Lonchura striata: one gene and its partner. The protein of the gene in region 1 interacts with the protein of each later gene in a pairwise test. Links are inferred from orthologs where the notes say so. Each region holds a gene or a part of one and is shown on either strand. Other genes may lie near its edges.

What was found.
Region 2: the proteins of AQP1 (region 1) and RGS17 interact in binary tests that used the Homo sapiens proteins (3 or more experiments, as listed by UniProt). The two-hybrid records come from large-scale screens. The link is inferred for Lonchura striata from reciprocal best matches to the Homo sapiens genes AQP1 and RGS17.

The regions. Positions count from the first base shown.
Region 1 is NC_134603.1:153,507,857-153,517,227, reverse strand, and holds the start of AQP1 (aquaporin-1), read right to left. Parts: upstream 3,805-9,371; 5' UTR 3,536-3,804; coding exon 3,146-3,535; intron 1-3,145. UniProt on the Homo sapiens protein: Forms a water channel that facilitates the transport of water across cell membranes, playing a crucial role in water homeostasis in various tissues.
Region 2 is NC_134605.1:56,031,832-56,041,884, reverse strand, and holds the start of RGS17 (regulator of G-protein signaling 17), read right to left. Parts: upstream 3,741-10,053; 5' UTR 3,628-3,740; exon of another isoform or gene 3,551-3,627; intron 1-3,550. UniProt on the Homo sapiens protein: Regulates G protein-coupled receptor signaling cascades, including signaling via muscarinic acetylcholine receptor CHRM2 and dopamine receptor DRD2.

The DNA of each region.
Region 1 (9,371 bases):
CTTTGTGCAATGAGAAAGACACAGATTTATCCCACTTAATTTTGGATTCTTAGCAGAGGCTTCCAAGCCTGGAGCCTCAGTATGGCAAAGAGCAGCTGGGTGTCTCTGGGAGCAACTGAACAGATCTGAAGGTTGAAGTGCCTCTCTTTGTCTCTCATTCTCTGTGGATCAGAGAGAAGACAGTGGAAAGGGGTTCTCAGCTTGGTCCCTCAGTGCAGGACCTGCAGCCAGGCAGGAGAAATCCAAGGTCAGGCATGCAATCCCACCCAGGATCCACTGGGAACACTGGATGGACACTCACTCCATTACACTGCCCCCACCACATTTTTCCTGTAAAAAACACCTCTCCAAGAGCACAGCAGGGTCAGAACAGAGGACAAAGACACACACATCCGGACCCTCTTCCCAACCATGCCAAACAAGCAGCACTCTCTTCCTTTCTATTTTTTTTCTGAGCAGGGAATCCACACCTCGTTACCCACAAGAAGGTCCAGAAGACAGAGCAGCTGGCAGGGATGCCAGCTCTGAGCCTCCCCTTCTTGTCCTCAGGTTACAAATCATAACAATAAAAGAAGCTCTATGGTTTCTCCTTGCCGGATCATTGTTGAAGGAGGACCTCTAGTGCTGTGGTTTCAGGATATGCCCCATTGAGGTGGACTCTGCATGAGCACAGCCCCTCTGCTCCTGCTCCCCCATACTTTGGGCTCAAACCCAGTTCCCTCTCAGCCCTCCCCTCCCCAGGCACTCCAGGCTTGTCACTGGGAAATTATTTCCTTCCTTTCCCCTTTCCCCTTTCCCCTTTCCCTTTCCTTTCCTTTCCTTTCCTTTCCTTTCCTTTCCTTTCCTTTCCTTTCCTTTCCTTTCCTTTCCTTTCCTTTCCTTTCCTTTCCTTTCCTTTCCTTTCCTTTCCTTTCCTTTCCTTTCCTTCCTTTCCTTTCCTTTCCTTTCCTTTCCTTTCCTTTCCTTTCCTTTCCTTTCCTTTCCTTTCCTTTCCTTTCCTTTCCTTTCCTTTCCTTTCCTTTCCTTTCCTTTCCTTTCCTTTCCTTTCCTTTCCTTTCTTTCCTTTCCTTTCCTTTCCTTTCCTTTCCTTTCCTTTCCTTTCCTTTCCTTTCCTTTCCTTTCCTTTCCTTTCCTTTCCTTTCCTTTCCTTTCCTTTCCTTTCCTTTCCTTTCCTTTCCTTTCCTTTCCTTTCCTTTCCTTTCCTTTCCTTTCCTTTCCTTTCCTTTCCTTTCCTTTCCTTTCCTTTCCTCCCTATCTTTCTCTCACAAGGCAGAACAGCTGCTGCCCTCACTATCCCCAGGGGCATCTCCCCACTGCTCCTCCAGCCAGAACATTTATAAGTGGATGTGAAAGGAAAAAGAAAGAAAATTCTGAATATTTCCCAATGACAAGCAGTGAGACCAGAGCTTTTAGAAACTATATTTCGTGTTATTCCATTGCACAGAAATTGCTGATCGATTTGTAAAATTTATATGATGGAGACTTATCCCTGCCTGGTTTTGCTTTTGTAGTTTGAGGAGTTACTGACAGAGGGGCAAGAAGAGCTTCACCCCCCTTCACAAATGGCCAGGTTTAGTGCTTTGGTTAGAGGAAGGAACCAGTCATCAGGATTTTATGGAAGCAAAAGGGAAAAACCAAGCTTAAGTGCTACCAAAACCAGACCTCCCGTGTTTAATGGCAGTTGGACCTCTCGAGGAAACCACTTGGGCGGACACCCTGTCCCATGTGGTTGAGCTGTTCCCTCTGTCAGTGGTTTCAGAGGAAAAGATCATGTATCATTCTCGCAGCCAGAGCCTTCTGGAATCAATAAAATTATTTGCTCTTCTTCCCCAAAATGTTTTGAGTTAACCCATCAAAATTTCCAAAGCGCTGGCAGGATGGAATAGCTGCAGGCACCAGGAGAGAGGGAGGTGAGCAGCCAACTCACAGAGAAACACAAGGGTGGATGATACTGAGCTGCCCAGGAATCACCTTAATATCAGATTTTATTCTGTTTTGAAAACTTGACTCATGTTCTCAATTAACTGCAATGTCAAATTACAATATGTAAAGCCATATTGCTCTTTTGCCTAAGTTATTTCAGAAGAGATGTTGCATTTGCAGCTTTATGTCCCAAATACCCCTATGAATGCAAATGGGCAGAAGATTTCAAATTAGCTCAATTTACAAACTGCAGTCAGGAATATTCTGAAAGAAAGGGGCCAAGGAAAATATGTGAAATACTTGTTCTTAAGAGATCAGGTCAAGTAAGTGACCAGGAGGAATTTCCATTTATAGCACTGTGTGTCCTGCGGTGGCTGTAGCACTGCCTCTGACAGTGGGATGATTTCAAGTTTAAAAGTGTATTTACCTTTTTTTTTTTTTTCTCCTATTATCCTGCAACAACAACAGCAAAATGACATTTTAAGGAGGAGTTGTGGCCAGGCAGTTTTTAGGCAGAATGATGTGAGCATCTGGCTGGGAGAGAGCTGGAACCTGCACCCCAGTTACCTGTAGCTGCCTCACATTTTCCTCCAGTTTACACATGACAATTCAGGATTTGTCCAATTTTTTCCCAGAAATGCACAGAAAGGCCAGCTGGGATTCTGACAAGCAGGATCTGAGCACTCTGCCTAATGCAACAGGTACTGCCCACACCTTTGGGGATGGGATTTCTCTTGCTGCACACCTCTCTGCTCCCAAGAGTTTTCACTGCAGCCGTCACCAGTATACACAAACCATTAATTAAGTACTGAAAATGAACCACACTCACAGAAGCCAAAACAACACTGGTGTATGCACATTAATCAACATGTCACCTTAGAGACCCTCAGAACCATGAAAGGTCGTAAAGCTGTCAGTCAATTCAGTGTTAAATTGGCATCAAAAACCACCTTGCAGCAACTTGGATGTACAAAACTGAACATAAGCACAACTGATCATGACCAGAATGTCCTAAAGCTCCAACATGAGGGTGGGGAGGAAGGACCATCCCTGTGACATCCTGGTTATCAGCCAGGACTGGATTCTCTCCTACAATAAACAGTCGGGCTCTCCAAGGTCACCAACACCAGCAGAACCCCCACATCTTTAGCAGATGACAGCTGCTACATTTCTACTCTAAAATAAAAAGAAAATAAAGGAGGAATTCAAAGTTTCTACTTACAGCATTAAGCCCCAGGGAGTTTCCTGGGAGAGAGGAGGTGACTCCGGAGAGAATGGCTGTGGCCACCACTGCCCCCAGGCACTGGGCGAGGATGTACATGAGCGCCTTGAAGATGCTGATCTGGCAGCTGAGCAGCAGCCCCAGGGTGACAGCGGGGTTCAGGTGCGCCCCGCTGATGTGGCCCACGCTCTGCGCCATGGTAGCGATGGATAACCCAAAAGCCAGGGAAACCTTCACGTTGTCCTGGGACCTCGTTGATGTTTTGTTGGCCACCACGGGGAAGTTGAAGCCCAGAGCCGAGCCAATGCTGATAAAAATGAAAAGGCTCATGGCCAAGAACTCGGCCACCACTGCCCTCCAGAATATTTTCTTTCTGAATTCACTAGCCATCTTTCCTCTTTCTCTCTCTCTCTCTCTCCCCTCCTCACTTTTCCTTCTCCCTCTCTCCCTTCCTTTGCCTGATATTTTCCCTTTGAGGTCTGAAGAGAAATCTGGAGGAAAAATACAGTCCTTGGATTATTTATAGGGCTTTGGGTGGTCTGTAGGAGGGAAGGGGTGTTGCACAAAAGGAGGAAAGAACATCTACATAGATGCTGACTGCTAGATTGATGTAAGACACTGTTTGCCTGCCAAAGTTTTTTTCTTCCTTTTTTTTTTTTTTTTTTTTTTTTTCTTTTCCCCTCCCTTAACAGCATTCGATCTCTGCCGCCGTTTTTAAGAGGCTTTTTAAAATTCTTGGAAAAATCTTTAGGAGAGCCTTAGGAATTTCAGCCTCACTTCTTTAACTCCTGTGTCATCTTTCAGCGCGTGGATCGGAATGAAAGCTTTGATGGGATTTCTGTCTGGAGCTGAAACAGAAAGCAAAGTTATCAGTGCAGGCGGGTAAGTTGTTCACGCTCGGCTTCAGCGGCAGCAGATAACAGCTGAAAGTAGTAAATAAGACTGACAGCTAAATCCACACTCCAGAGGCTTCAGTAGCTCTGTTTATTTTGAAAAAAAAGGTAGAAATGTCCCTTCTGCTGGCTTTGTGGACTCGGAGATGTTTTGGATGCCAAGTCTGGCGGCTGTACGGACACTTGGATTTACACAGCTCACACGAGCTGGTGTTCACTCATGAGGGATCATTTTTAATCTCTGTGTAAATCTGCCATAAAACTGTGGTAAGCTGGAAGCTTTCAATGCATGTAATTTGGATGCTGCTGATGATTTTTTGTAATTTATTTTTTTTAATTTATGTCATTTCTTCACTTTTCTGCTTCCAAGCACAGAGGCGTCTCAGGTTTTCCCCATCCTTCCCCTTCTGAGTGGCAGGAAAAAAGCCAATTTGGGGGCTTCCTAGCCCAGGTCCTGCAGGGAAAGGCATCTCTCACCACCCTGCTGAAGGTCAGCTCAGCTGTCCCGGCTGTCTCCAGGGAGACTCTGCTGCCGCTGAGCCACAGGACTGGCCAGACAGAGGGGACAGAGGGGACAGCAAGGGAGAAGGGAAATTACATGCTTGGTTTTGCAGACAAAATGAACCTCCCGGCAGTGCCAGAGCCTCTCGGAGCAAAAGGTCTCAGTGCTTGGCTTTACCTCCGTGGGGCTCGGACACACGGCTCAGATTAACCCCTGAGCTCTCGGATCCCTGCCCGCTCCGCAGCTGCGAGTGTCTCCAGCTGGAAATCCCGGGATCTGACTTCAAACCAAGGAAAATCTGTTCCAGAGGCAGGAAGTCATTCCCCAGGCACAACTCTTGAAGGATGGGTGTTTAAAAGCAGCCTACTTTTTTTCCTCTTCTTTCTTTAATGTACTGGTAACATCTTCTGAATTGTACATAAATTAATTCAAGGCTTTTTCATTTGGACAATATGGCAGTAAGAAGGAAAAAATCAAATACACACCTGGATGGTATTAGACAGCCAATAAGGATTTTTTTAAAATATATTTGGTTTTCAAAAGATGATTCAGTGACAAAGCTGAAAACAGTTTAAATAAAAGCCCAGATGTCTGCAGCTTGACATACCCAAGTTCTTATTCTTCCTAGGCATCAGATGTTCTTGATTTTTCACATAGAAAATTTTATTTCCTTTTTGTTTTATGATACACTTACACAACAGGACCGTACCAGTGAAAAGGGAAAAAGTAAAGAATGGGTCTTCAATGAGGAACAATGTGACAGACAAATCAAAAATCAAATTTAGCCAAATAGTGGGACATAGTGGAATTTTAATGTAAGATACAGTTGATTGTGGTTTTATCCTATCAGTGGAACTTTTTATTTACTGCAAACATTATCTGAAACAAAGATCTCCAGTGATCACCTTCCCTGGCCCTTCCAAGAGGCTGCCCAAGACCCAGGCAGGACATGCATCACACACCTCAGGGAACTGAGACAGCAGAGCTTTGTGAATAGTTTGCAAGAGTTTCCATGTGTCCAAAATTGGCCTCCATGGGATGGAGCTGCCCAAATAGTCACCAGCGTCCACAGGAAACTCCCTCTTTACTCACCTCTTCCTACAGTTAGGAACTGGATGACCAAGCCACCTCTGTATCAGTACTGATAAGGTGAGGAAGAACCCCTCTAAGGAAAACTTTCAGAAGGTGGGAAAATAGACTGGGGAAGTATTGCAAAATGCTCCCCTGGTTTCTGCAGTTTCCTCTCAGTGTCCCTGACTCGCCTGTGCCACAGACAGGACCCCAGGAAAGCCAGAACTCCATGTGAACAACACTAACATTAAATATACCTCAAGAGGAGAAGGTTGGGCACCACCTTGCTGTTGAACCTGCTGGTCACCTCACGTTTGCATTTTCATCCTGGGACTCTCCATTTGTCTTTTCATAAATGTTACCAACCTCTCTTGTTATATTTTGGAACTTGGTGCCACAGTGATTCAACAAAATAGTTATTCAGACAGAAAAAAAAAAAAATCTGAAATAAATTAAAGAGAACAACAGGGAGTACACACAAATAAAAGAAACAGACTTTTCCTGTACATAGAAGAACCACCAAGTGAGGAAACAGAAAGGCATGGCAACAAAAGAACAAATATTCTGCACAAATAGAGGGAATTGTGGAAAAATTAAATTACACAATGGTGTGAGTGTAATAAGGAAAAAGGGGAGAGAAAATGTGAGTAGAGAAACCATACATCAGTTGGACTTCTTCAGAAATGTCCACCACAACACAAATCTAACTGGTGCCCAACACACTACGTCACCTTTCCAAAAAAACATGCTCCATCCCATGTTACTCAGGCTGATGGCAAAGACCCCGGTGCTTAGTAAAGTGAACAAAGAACACTCAGACCACAAAACCACCAGAAGCCCCAAAAAAGGGTCAAAATCCAATTTCCTGCATTCCAGATAAGCTGGGGTTTGTGCAGATAGCTTTTCTGGGCATGATTTTAGCTTATCCACCACAATTGAAGGTGAAGTTTGGATTTTTCTAGAAATAGAGATGATTGCCAAATTTATGTCAGTGTTTGAGACAGGCAATTAAGAACAGATCTGTTTGGAACAAGAAGAAAAAAGGAACTTTTTATCTAAGGGGTGTTTCTTCACAGACAACTTAGACCAGAGTATTCCCAACCTCTCTTTGATTTTGTTGCACTAGAGACAGCTTAACGAAAAATCAAGCTCACAGGAATGGGTTTTTCATTGCCAAGATCTCAGGGCTGACTCCTTTTTTGCATGAAATAAATCAGATTTTGGAGGGCTATAGCACAAATGTCCCTTAACGTTTCATTCAGAAAACAAATGTACTTGTTGAAGTTGTAGGCTTTGTTCTGTGATCCCACCCATCAGATTGCTCAGGATCTCTGCTTTTTTAACAAGAAACAAATGTCAGTGACTTCAAATTTGGTCTTGGCTAACAAGAAATCTCTGGGAATTTCCCTCTTAGGTGAAGGAACAGTCAAAGTCGAAGGGCAGAAGGAATGAACGTAAGTCCAGCAGTCAAATGATTGAAAGAACCAGGGGAAGTTCAGCAAAATACAATTACTCCTCTCTTGTGAAGAATTCATTTTTCTGTGACCTTGCCAGACAAGCCTTTTAGCAGGCAAGCAGCAGTTCAAGAAAAGCTTTTTTACCTCCAGCTTCAGAGACAACAGACATTTCCTCTTCTGCCCATGGACCTTTCATCCCTCTGAGCCATCACCACTCTCACCAGCACAGAGGACAGCAAAGCCATGGAGCAAGGAAGAGCCAGGGGATCCATGTATCCTGCCTAAAACATCTCAGAAATGGGAAGGGTTTGAGGGTTCTACACATCTATGATGGGTAGAATGAAAACATACAGAAAGCTGTAGTTCACAGGTGGAGTTTCCTGTAAGAATAACAATTACAAACTTAAACAGATTTGCAGTGACGCTCAGGAGCTGTTTTCTGGGCTCAATCCACTTTCTGGTTAGAAGTAGAACCTCTCCGTGCTGCTGATGTAAAAACTACAGAGTGGAAATTGAGACAAGGTAGAGATGCTTGCAAATTTCTCTGCAGCAGCTGACTGATCACAACCAACACCTGTCAGTGCGAGCAAACTGGGAGGGGCTTCAGACTGAATCTCTGACTTAATGCTCCTAAATGTGGGGAAGATGGAATATTTCACACACTTCCCCCTCTCCAGGGAATTCACTACCAACCAGCCTCAGCACCCACACATGCTCCATATGCCAGATGATGAAAATTCTCTTCTGAGCTGCTCAGCTGGACTTGTTCCCTGTGTGATAAGCCAATTTGGTTTTGATTTAGTCTCAACCCTGGCTGTCAGGGGTGTCAGAGACACGAGCGGGGAGGGAGGAAGTGTGTACAGGTGCCACTTAAAGAGGGCAGCCAGGAGTGGAGGAAGCCTCATCCCTGAGGAGGCTTAGCCTGGCAACCCCTCACATGAGGCAGTCACTGTGGAGGGGCTTCTCCAAGCAGGTAATGAAAAGAAAGGCTGGAACTGGGCCAATGGTCTCCACTGTCGCTGAGGCTCACTGCTGTTTGTTGGGTATTGTAAATGCAGGTGAACCCAGTAGGAAGAAATGATGATGTCTGACTCCAGTTCAGAAGGAGGTTTATTTATTTATTTATTATAACTATACTACAATACATTATATACTATTTAAAGGAGATACTAAAACTACAGACCTATTTTTTCTAACTACCATATCTAACTCACTCACAACTTGTGACCCTCTCTGAGAGTCCAGCCACAGGTGGATTGGATTTGCCATCAGGCTCCAACAATCCTCACCAGAATCCAACCAAGCAATCACCCCAGGTAAACAATTCTCCAAACACATTCCACATGGGAAAAACTAGGAGCAGAAATAGAAATTGTTTTCTCTTTCTTTCCTCTGTGCTGCTCTACAAAAAGTCCTGAAAGGAAGAAGAAGGTCCCTGTGACAGTTGTTCCATTCCTTTGCCCTGACCCCAGCCTGCCTTCTGGTTCTCCTGACTTTGCTGACTCTTGCTTGCCCTCGTGCCTGTCCTTACCTCCCTGTATCCCTGACCAATGCCCTGCTGTAGCAGCGTGGGGTTTCTGCTACCTACATCTTATTTCCCAATAAGCATCTCCTGTGGAAAAGCCTCTTGAAGAAGCATTCAGGCAAAACAGTCAAGTCCATACACACCACACTCACCACGGCCAGCTCAGCCAAGAGAGGCAGAAGGGCCTTTTATATGGTCAGTTCCAGCGAGGCTTATTTCAGCATGCCAAAGGGGAACAGGAGACTAAAGACAAAGACCATGTGCTGTGCACAAGCTTAAGTATGGGAGGTCACAGGGGTGGTACAAAAGAGCAGCAACCTGTAGGGGGTTGAGGGATGAATAATTGGGGTGGGCAGGGTCAATTGGCCAATGGGGAAAGCAGTCTAATGTAGATTTCCAATAGTGCTGCTGACCACCATGAGGAAGTCCTTTCTGTCCACCCAGGTGGGGAAAGTCTCTCTGGTAAGTCTCTCCAAGGCAAGGCTCTGGGGGTTTCCCTGAGGGGGGAAGATTCAGAGGACTCCACACCCTGCCACTTCTCCCTCAGGTCCTTGCCTGGGCTGCATTCCAGCCTCCCTGACCCAGCCCACCACTGCCATCCTCACCACGACTCTGTCCAGGGTGCTGGACCTCCTGTCCGAGCGCTGCTGACCGCGTGCGTGGCCATCACCGCAGGTGCCGAGCTCATGAGCCATGCAGGTTACCTGGACACCAACAGTTCTTCCCTGATCTCCTGCTGGGAGCACCCTTTTTTCCTCTCTGTCTTCTCTCTCTCTCC
Region 2 (10,053 bases), on another chromosome or scaffold:
TGTAAGAGCTAATACTGTTTCACTTAGTTACACTTCTGGTGTATTCCTAAGAATCTCCATATGTTCATACTTAAAGGCATGCATGCGAAGAAAACAAGCAAGAAAGTGCTACTTAAAAGTACTATGATTGTAAAATTTGTTTAGGATAGTGTATTTTTAGTGAATAAAAATGTATATACCATATATATATCTACATATGTATCTACATATATGTGTGTTTTGCTACATATACACATACAGACACACATACACTACTTGTAAGTAGAAAATCATGTCTGAGACTGGCTTAAGTCTGAGACTGGCTGACATTCCTCCTATCCTGTCCCCATAACAATACCACTGAGCCTCTCCTTCTTTTAGTCATTTGGGAGATGGAGATTAACACATCTGAGATTTCAAGCATTTTATTTTTTGTGAAGAATTTCACAACTCATGGGTTTCTACCCTTCTCTACTTCATCACGTTCTGCTGTGTATTGTGTTGCTCCAAGTAGTGTCTGCTGCCAAATTAAAACTGTAAAGACACAACTTCTGTGCCTTTGGGTCTGGGTTGTGTTTTGTAGTTGTCTGGTCTCTTATTCCTTTATTATTCTTATGACAAAATCAAAGAGTGGCTACCACTGAGATCAGGGAAGTATTCTGCAATGTTGATCTGATCAATACCTCCTCAAGCAGGACTGAACTCAGGAGTACTCTTCTGAAGAAGAATTTGTTTTATAGCTCCTTACAAATCAGCTACATTTTATGGGACATTTATACTTTCCTTTTGAAACTGCATGTTGATGCACATCCTTATAATGAACATTACACAGAACAATTAGAAAATGATGCTACTTCAAATGCACAGAGTTTATATATATAATATATATACACATACATACATATATGTCCTTGATATATAGTTTTCATTTTGTATTTAATATAGTTATTAAAAATAAGAGTTGAAATTAAGAATAAAATATTTCATCTTTTTTTCAGGGTAGGTAGAAAACTGCATTGGGATAGGGAATTTTTCACCAAGCTGTCAGTCAGATTTCAATTCAAATCAATAGTGGAGGGAGTATTTTTTCAACAGACAGCTTTTCAGTAGCCTTCTTGAAACAAATATTTTGTGCATAAGTGTCCATGTTGCATAACAAGAAGAAGAATAATTATCCTTATCTGTAGATGTCAAGATAAGACATCATATAAGGGCTGAGTACAGTTTCACACTCCTGGGCAGGCCTCTCAGCTTGGTGATAGGTAAAATGAACGGACCTGACCTGCCAGGGCTGTACCTGCTCTGGTTTGAGAGGACACTCCTGGCACCTTACATAGACACAATATGTGCTCCTTGTCAGCTCAGGAGCACTGAGCGAAATTACCAGGCAGCAGGTTCATAGCAAACAAAAGGAAGTACCTTTTCACACAAATCATAATTAAATTGTGGTGCTCATTGCTACAGAAGCAGGTTGAGAATAAAGCATAAACAGATTTTTTTAAAGGGAGTAGGAAAACTCAAAGTTTATTATACATGATGGTCAGAGAGCAAACTCCAGTTTAAGAAATCCATGTTCTGTGTGTTGCTGAAACTTGAAAGGATATGCCAGGAAAAGATCCCTGTATGCCAGTCCTGTTTCTTACGTTTTTCTCCTTCAGCATCTGCTAATGGCTGTAGTCAGAGCCAGGATATTGGACTAGATGTTCAACTCACTATAGCAATTTATTTGATCGTATTCTTTTAATTAAATTATGTTCTTATTTTGGCTACTTAAAAGGATCTAAGGCCTTGATGGAGAAAGGCATTTAAATGCTTTAATACGTTATTTCAGGGAGGTGAGTACTTGAGTGTATCATACCATTTGCATTTTAGGCCATAAACTTACTGGGGTGGGGCTCACTCATCTTTTAATAGGATTTTGCTTTTTCTGGGTATGAGCTAGAAACAAAATATATATCTGATAACAGTGCATAACACTGTTTTTCTATAAGGGTTAAATAGTATGTTTGCCTAAATGGCTTATGCCACAGGTAAATTTCCCAGTGATTTATGTAAGAATGATGACACTAGCATCAACTGATGTGAAAAGGAATCAACTTCCTTTATATTTGTAATGCACGAATATTACATTTATAGGAAGGTATTTTTCACCAGTTACCCATAATAGTATTGCCAGCCAATATGTAACTTACTTATATTTACCTAGAAAGGTATTTCAGATTTCATCCATTTTGCAAAAGCATCTGGCTGCCACCTATGTCACACATTGGTGAAAATCCAGATACAGACATGAAAGAAACCAAATACTGAAAACCATAAATTTCACCCCTGCTGCTTCTAAGCCTGACAGCAACAGTAAGGTTTCTTTCTACATCAACAAGAAGAGATAGAGATGAATGTTAGGTTGGCAGCCGAGCGAGCGAGGCAACCTCGGCATTCTTAATTGCGAGCGGCTTCATCCCGAGGAGAGGCGCAGCCCCGCAGGAGCAGCACACGGCGGGTCTCGGGCGCCGGGCAGCGGCTCCGCATCCCCGCCGCACCGAGCGCGGCGGCGGCGGGTGTTTCCCCAGCGGCGCAGGGAAGCCCCGCTCCGCTCGGGGCCGGGCACGGCGCACCGGGAGCATCCCTGCCCCGCCGGCCGCGCCCGGCCACCTGCTCCTCCCGCGGCCCCCGCCCGCGACATCTCCAGGGGAGGGGCGGGAAGGAGGCCGGGGCAGAGGGATGGCCGTGCCGCAGGGTACGGCGGGCGGGGGAGGCTGGGTGCCGCCCGGGGCTCCGCGGCCGCTGCCCGCGGGGGTTCCCCGGCCCCGGTGCGGCCGGCCAGGAGGGGCAGCCGGGAAAGGGGGCAGAGGGAAGGAGGGATGGGAAAGCAACTCCTGATCTTAGAGCAACGACTCGCTTGTTCACCCTCACCGTCTGCCGGCTCCTCGGATTGAAACAACAACAACAACAATAATAATAAAAATTACACCACCTCTCCTCGCGCGAAGGAGACCCACGTTACAGGCAGTGGAAGGTCAAGAGGAAAGACAGGAGGAGCGCTGTCTCGCCTCCGATCTGGCGGCTGTCACACCGCTAGCCCGTGTCCCCGGCTTCCCCGGGAGCGGCCCGATCCCTCCCCTGCTCGGGCTGAGCAGCATCGCCCGGCGCGGCGAATGCCCCGCGGCACCCCCAACACAAACCGGGGAGCGGCGGAGATTGGGGGCGCGGGTAGAGCCCGGCGACACCTCTTCCCACCCCTTTGTGCATCGCGGGCAGGACATACACACATACACACGCACACACACGCACACACACGCACACACAGACACAGACACACACAGACACTCCACCTTGCAACCTCGGCGCCGAAGCCGCCCGTTGTTACACACACACAGGCACGTTTACACACACCCTGTCACCCCGGTGAATACATTTTCTGTTGCGCTCTACCGCCCGCCATCCATCCATCCATCCATCCATCCATGCATCCATCCATCCATCTCCCTCCTTCCTTTTCCTCTTCCCCCTCACCCCCCTCCCCCTTCCACATCCCTCCCTTTGGTCGGTATGGCTTTCCCCACACACACACCCTTTGCATCACTATAAAGCAGACATTTTGGTGCCGTTTATCACGGTTCAGGCTGAAATGAGCGCGGAGAGCCTTACCCACCCCCGCCCGGCTGCGTGCAGTTGGCGCTGAGCGATCCCGGGAAGGGCTGGTGCTGCTCGTCCCCTAGCGCAGCTGCTTCGCTGCCATCCGCCCAACTTCAGCACCCAGCCGGCGGGGAGAGGGAGGGAGGCGGCGGCAGGCAGGCGGGCAGGGAGGGAGGAAGGGAGGGAGGGGGCAGCGAGAGAGGGGGAGAGAGGGAGGGAGGGAGGGAGGGAGAGGGAAGGAGGGAGGGCGGCGGAGAGGAAGAGAGGGCGGGAGGGTGCGAGGAGCGGCGCGGAGCAGGGAGCCCCCGCACATGCGCTCTGCCGGCGGCGGCGGAGCCCGGCGGCAGCGGGAGTTCCCCGCTCGCCCGGCGGGTGAGTCACGGCCCGGCCCGGCCCGGCAGCGCCCCGCCCCGCCCCGCCCGGCCCGGCCCGGCCCGGCCCGGCAGCGCCCCGCCCCGCCCCGCCCGGCCCGGCCCGGCAGCGCCCCGCCCCGCCCCGCCCGGCCCGGCCCGGCCCGGCAGCGCCCCGCCCCGCCCCGCCCGGCCCGGCCCGGCCCGGCAGCGCCGCGCCCCGCCCCGCCCGGCCCGGCCCGGCCCGGCAGCGCCGCGCCCCGCCGCGCCCCGCCCCGCCCGGCCCGGCAGCGCCGCGCCCCGCCGCGCCCCGCCCCGCCCGGCCCGGCAGCGCCGCGCCCCGCCGCGCCCCGCCCCGCCCGGCCCGGCCCGGCCCGGCAGCGCCGCGCCCCGCCCCGCCCCGCCCCGCCCGGCCCGGCAGCGCCGCGCCCCGCCCCGCCCCGCCCGGCCCGGCCCGGCCCGGCCCGGCAGCGCCGCGCCCCGCCCCGCCCCGCCCGGCCCGGCCCGGACCGGCAGCACCCCGCCCCGCCCCGCCCCGCCCCGCCCGGCCGGGCGCCGCCGCCGCTGCAGGGACGCTCCCCCGGCTGCCAGCGGCGCGGGTCTCCGCAGGCGGCGGAGCGGCAGCATCCCCGCTCGTGGGCTGGCAGCGTGTGACGGCGGGAGAGACACGTCGCCCTGCTGAGCAGTGAAGCGCTAGAGGTGCTGGGCTGCGGTTTTGTTTTCACTTTGGCCCCCACATCGGCATGTCCAAATAGATTTAAAAAAATAAAATTCCATAAACCACTATCCAGCACTTCATTATCCTCTGAAGCCAAGGGAGAGGCAGCGATTTAGTGGCCAAGTAACTTTTTGAAGTTGGGCATCTGAAGCACAATTTCTGGAAGAAAGAACCAGAGTGGATCTGCATGGATCTGTCGATGTCAACCATGAGACTCAAAATCAGGATGCTCTGGAAATCTGACTGTGAATCCTGAATCCTGACAGGTTTTGTTACTTAGTTTGTCCCATCTTTTTTACAAATTTTGGCTCAATAGAGAATGTTGTTTAGCTTTCCTTCTGCACCTTAGAAATGGGGAGCCTGATATATCTCCAGATAACAGCACTGGAAAAATACATATTTGGCATCTCGATCCTGTCAAATCATGACATTAATCCAGAAATGTTAATATCTCAGGAGAGGATGCATTACTACATTTACCACTTCACTAAAACAGTCTGGCAGGGTGGTACAAAAGACACAAGGCTGCATTAAGGTGTTTCAGTGGCTTGCCATCAATGTGTACCAATTCTCTTTGCAAAAGCGGTCAACATGCCTTTCTATCTCATCTAGAGCCCAAAGTGGAGTGCTACAAAAACTGAAGCCAAAATCACACATATGTTAGTAGGGCTGAAATTAAAAGGATTGAAAACAATCCAGAAGGGCTAGCTTCCATGATAGCTGCAAGAGCACAGGCACATCAAAACAAGCTCGGCTCTCAGGAATCTGTATTCAAAACACAACTAACTTAAAACATGACAGTAGCAGCCATGGTTGTCTGGCTTACTTTTTGTCTTCTGGGATAGAAGCTTCAGATTCTGAATCTCACAAGGACTAAAGTCAATGTAATCTCCCTGAAAGTCTCTCCCCATAAAATCATGACTTCTCTTTTCTTCTGATCTTGATCCTTGTGGAGAAAAAGTCCTTGAACTGCAAGCTACAACTCTGCCTGATTACCAAAGGTTATTGGCATGGCAATTTGGTAGTGCTTATGGAAATCTAAGTTATATTCCCTATCTCTAGAAACAGTGCTGAAAAGAGTATTGTAAAGGATAAAATGTATCTCTGAAGCATTAACAGTGTTTTTATAAGTTAATTGCAATGCTTAAAATCTTTATTGACTATCTAAAGCTTTAAAGAGCCCCACAGCTCTTCTACGGCCTCAATAAGGAAAAACCTCCATATTTAGGAAATAAGAGTTGTTTAACTTCAAACTCATATGTTGAAGCTTAATGACATTCAGTAAAGAATATGAGCCTTCATGCCTGCTTAATATTAGGAAGATGGCTCCACTCTGACAAAAACTCTGAAACCAATCAAAGCAAGTGTCTTCTACAGATTTAGGAGCTACATAGAGATGTTCAACTGAAAAGGGAGACAGTAATGGGTAGAATTGAAGTAAAATAATTTTATCTCTATATCAGAAAAATATAAAATTCTACAAGTTTTAAAATGCTGTGCTTAAAATGTTTAAATTAATAAAAGACTTCTGCTTTTTATTACTCTCTTAATGTTTCCCACAGCTCTGAACAAGCCATTCCTATTTACCATAGTTTCCTGCACTGAAGCCATTCCTTGTTTTTGCTTGAGCTCCTGTTTATAAACCCACTTCCTTTCAATAGCTGTTTAGCTGCTGTGTTCTGGCCACTGCCTAATCTTTGTGCCTACTTTAGAGCCCTGCAATTGCTCTCAATGACTTTTTCTTCCAGGCCTTTCAATCCTGTCTTCCTGGTTTATGGGTTTTGTTCCATGCTTCTTTGCATTTCTTAATCCACATGGTTTCCTTATTACCATTTTTTTTTTTTTTTATGAAATAAAACCTATTTGCATTGTTCTTCCAAAAAAACTTCACTGTGTTTTGACAAAAGGAAAATAAATGGAGAAATGTATTATAAAAGAACATGTGAAAAACTATAACATGTACTTGAGAAGGTCATCTGGAACAAAGACTCCAAATAAATTGAACAAAATCATTTTACTTTAACATCGTGAGGTTAAATGTGTGTAAAATTCCTATTGAATTTAATGGGCGTGAAGCTAGGTTCCTTATTTTCCAGTATCAAATCTACACTATTGTTAGTTGACTATATAATTTCAGCCAACTCCATATTCTACCTGCAGAAATGCAGACATTTAAAACTTGTTATGGTCGTGAACTCCTCAAGATTACAGTTAGTTAATAGTATTCCCTGCATATCTTCAACATAAAAGAAATCAAAGGCTAACATTAAAACAACTCAATAGTTGAAGACCTAATCTTGATCATAAAGCAATAATCTTCTTTTGTGACCCCAGCATGACTTCAATGTGATGCAAAATGAAATATTTAAAATGTGTTTCAAACATAGATCATATACTTCTTTTTTCTCTGTAAGCACCAGTACTGTAACAGCTTAAAGACACTTACACTTGTAGTATCATCTGGGAAATGGGTCAGGAAAATGACCTGCAGTTACAGAGATGTATTTATGTGTATTTACGGTCTACTTCATGCAAAAAAAAAGAATCTTGAATTCTTCTTATTTATGTCTGTGTAATACCATGGTCCTTTTTCAGTTGTGGAGTTTTTAATAACTCTCAGGCTGTCTAAAGCTACTTGACACTATTAAGATGCATTTAAAGAATTAAATAGACCTTTCTGTGTTGCTATACATAAAACTATAAAAATTAAAAAAAAAAAAAAAAAAAGAACAGCCACCAACCCCCACACCTAACTCTTCTTTGCCCCAAAGCAAATGAGTTGAAGAAATTATCATCTTCAGTTGGTTCTTTGGATGGAAAGCTCCCTTGTAAATGTGATTAGAGCTACAGCATCTCAGTAGTAGGGAGATATTTTTTTTCAGTAGCAGCAAATTGAGCAAACACAGAGTCTGTCTCTGACAGTCCACTTTTAGATTTCCCCAAGCGACATTTATAATTGGCTTGTTTGTATGCAGAAACAAAAGCTTCAGAAGTCCCCTTATTAAAGAACTGCTCTTTACAGATGGCAGTGCTCTTGTAGCTTACTCAGAGCAAGACCCAGAGATAATGGCATCTTGTTTTGCAGCTGTTTCTGTTAACTTTGGCTGAGCAATCAGTGCTTCAAAGGCTGGTATTATGTGCCAAAAGGCACCAAAACCAAAAGTCTGTTGACTGAGAAGAAAAATGTCACTGCTACTAAACCAAACTGAGCTGTAGATGTATTGCTTGAGATGACTTCATATGGGCTTGGGCTACCCTGGTGGTCTCTTCATCACAGCTCAGTAGTAAAGTGCTATCATTTTATCATTTCACCAAATATATTATTTCATTGCAAGCTAGGCAAAGATTCCTAGCACCATTCCTAGAGCTGAATGTATTTCATTCCTTTAACAGCTAGAGTGAGCAGATTTAAAAATGTTACATTGCACAGAAGCAGGAGATGGAGATTTACTTCAGCAACCAGCTGATCTTTGCGCTCTTCAGCAAAACTTTTCGCTTCACTGAACAGAAAGGACCAACAATAAGATTTTAAGACTAGGAGTCATAAACTCCGCTTGTATCTTTCAAGAAATTATATTTAGCATGAAGTATTTGGAATATGTCTGTTTCTAATGATTGATAATCCCAAGGTCATTAATTTTGGCAAATTCACAATAAATTACCAAGATTAAGGTTAAACAATGACATGCTAGTTTTTAGTTAGCTTGCTGACCCACAAACTCTTTAATGTTTCTTTTCAATGTTGACATTCACGGTATCATCCCTACCTTTATAAGTAATGGGATTATTGTAATGTGATATCCCTAAAACGTTGTTTTTTATTAGTAAATGATTACTTTTAAAAATTGATCTTGAGTCAAGAAAGTCTTTAAGTACATGCTTGTTCTCAGCAAATGAGACTTATGTAGAGATTTAGTGGTAATTCCATACTTAGGAAGTTTTGTAAAAATAGCACATTGATTGCTTTCACAATTTTCATTGTATTTTATTTAGTTTATAGTGTCATATATTTTTCTGAAGGTAAAATGAAATCTCAAAGACTTGTGCTTTATATATTTTTAACTTAATTGGCCTGCTTCATATTTCCGTGAAAATCTTAGTTAAGGTGAAGCTAAAAGTCAGAGTATAAATAATAGTATTTAAAAAGTCCCAAATCCCCTGCAACTCATAGCACAAGAGTGCCTATAGGAACTTATACTGCTGAAATTCAATATGTTATGGTTTGACTTAAAAACTCTGAGCATTTGAAACCACAGAACATGGGTGAATACAAATCCATCTCTTAAAAGAGGCAAATATTTCAGGTAGAGAATTAAAACTAAATATGGAACAAGGTAGATGTGTTGCAATAAAATTGGTTTTGTTATTTGTGAGAGGGTGATGTCTCTATTATAAGACCAGGCAATGTGCTCAGTGTAATGTGAAGAAATTAATTTTATGTCTAGTAATTAAATGAACCCATTTATTTTAAGAAATGTATTTAATTCCTCTTCCAAAGTTGGTAGCAGCAAGACTTAGGATTGGGAGCACGTATAGGTGACTACTTGGAGTTTCTAAGAGAATCAAGAATTTTTTTTTGAAGGAGAAAAACCATGATATACCATGGTAATGATTTATGTTATGGAAAGAAAAGGTCAGGGTATATCTTTAAAAGTTGTTTAACATGAAGCTTTTGAAATTTATGTGTTTTTAATCCTGTATATTTCTACCTATGCTATGCAGCTGGTGGCAGGGTGGTGAGGGTCTGATCTGTGGCTGAGACTTTCCTCAGCACTCTGTAAGGCAGGTTTTACAGCTCTCAGCCTCAGAAGTTTTATTATACACTCAAAGGAGCAGGGTGAGCAGTTTCCTGTTTTATGAATGGTGTATTACTCTGTCAGTCATCGCCACAGGATGACAGGAGGTTTGAGAGGAGTTTTTTAACTCAACCCAGAGCCAGCTGGCATCAGAGAGGCAACTTTTCCCACGTGGCTCTGGTGCCAGTCACAGGCGGGTGTCAGGGGTTTGTGTGTTCCCACCACCTCCAGACACATGGGGTAGCCTTGGTTCCAGGCAGCTGGGAAGTCTCCTGTGCCTATCATCTGCAGCTGCACCCCTCAGTGCTGCAGCGAGGATTCAGCTTTGGCCTTTCTGCTGCCAACCTTCTTGGCTTCAGCAGTACATGCCATATCCCATTGCAAAGGCACTTCTCTGTTCTTATTTCCTCTTTGTTACTGCATATTGAATAATCCTGGCCATTTCATATGGGTTTAAATGGCCAGGAATCAGTATCTGATAGTAATTTGAATTCCTTACAACAAACTAGCTACCTTCTTCCTCTTTTCTTGGATCAGCACCACAGCCTCTGGTTGCAGTTATGGTGGGTGCCCC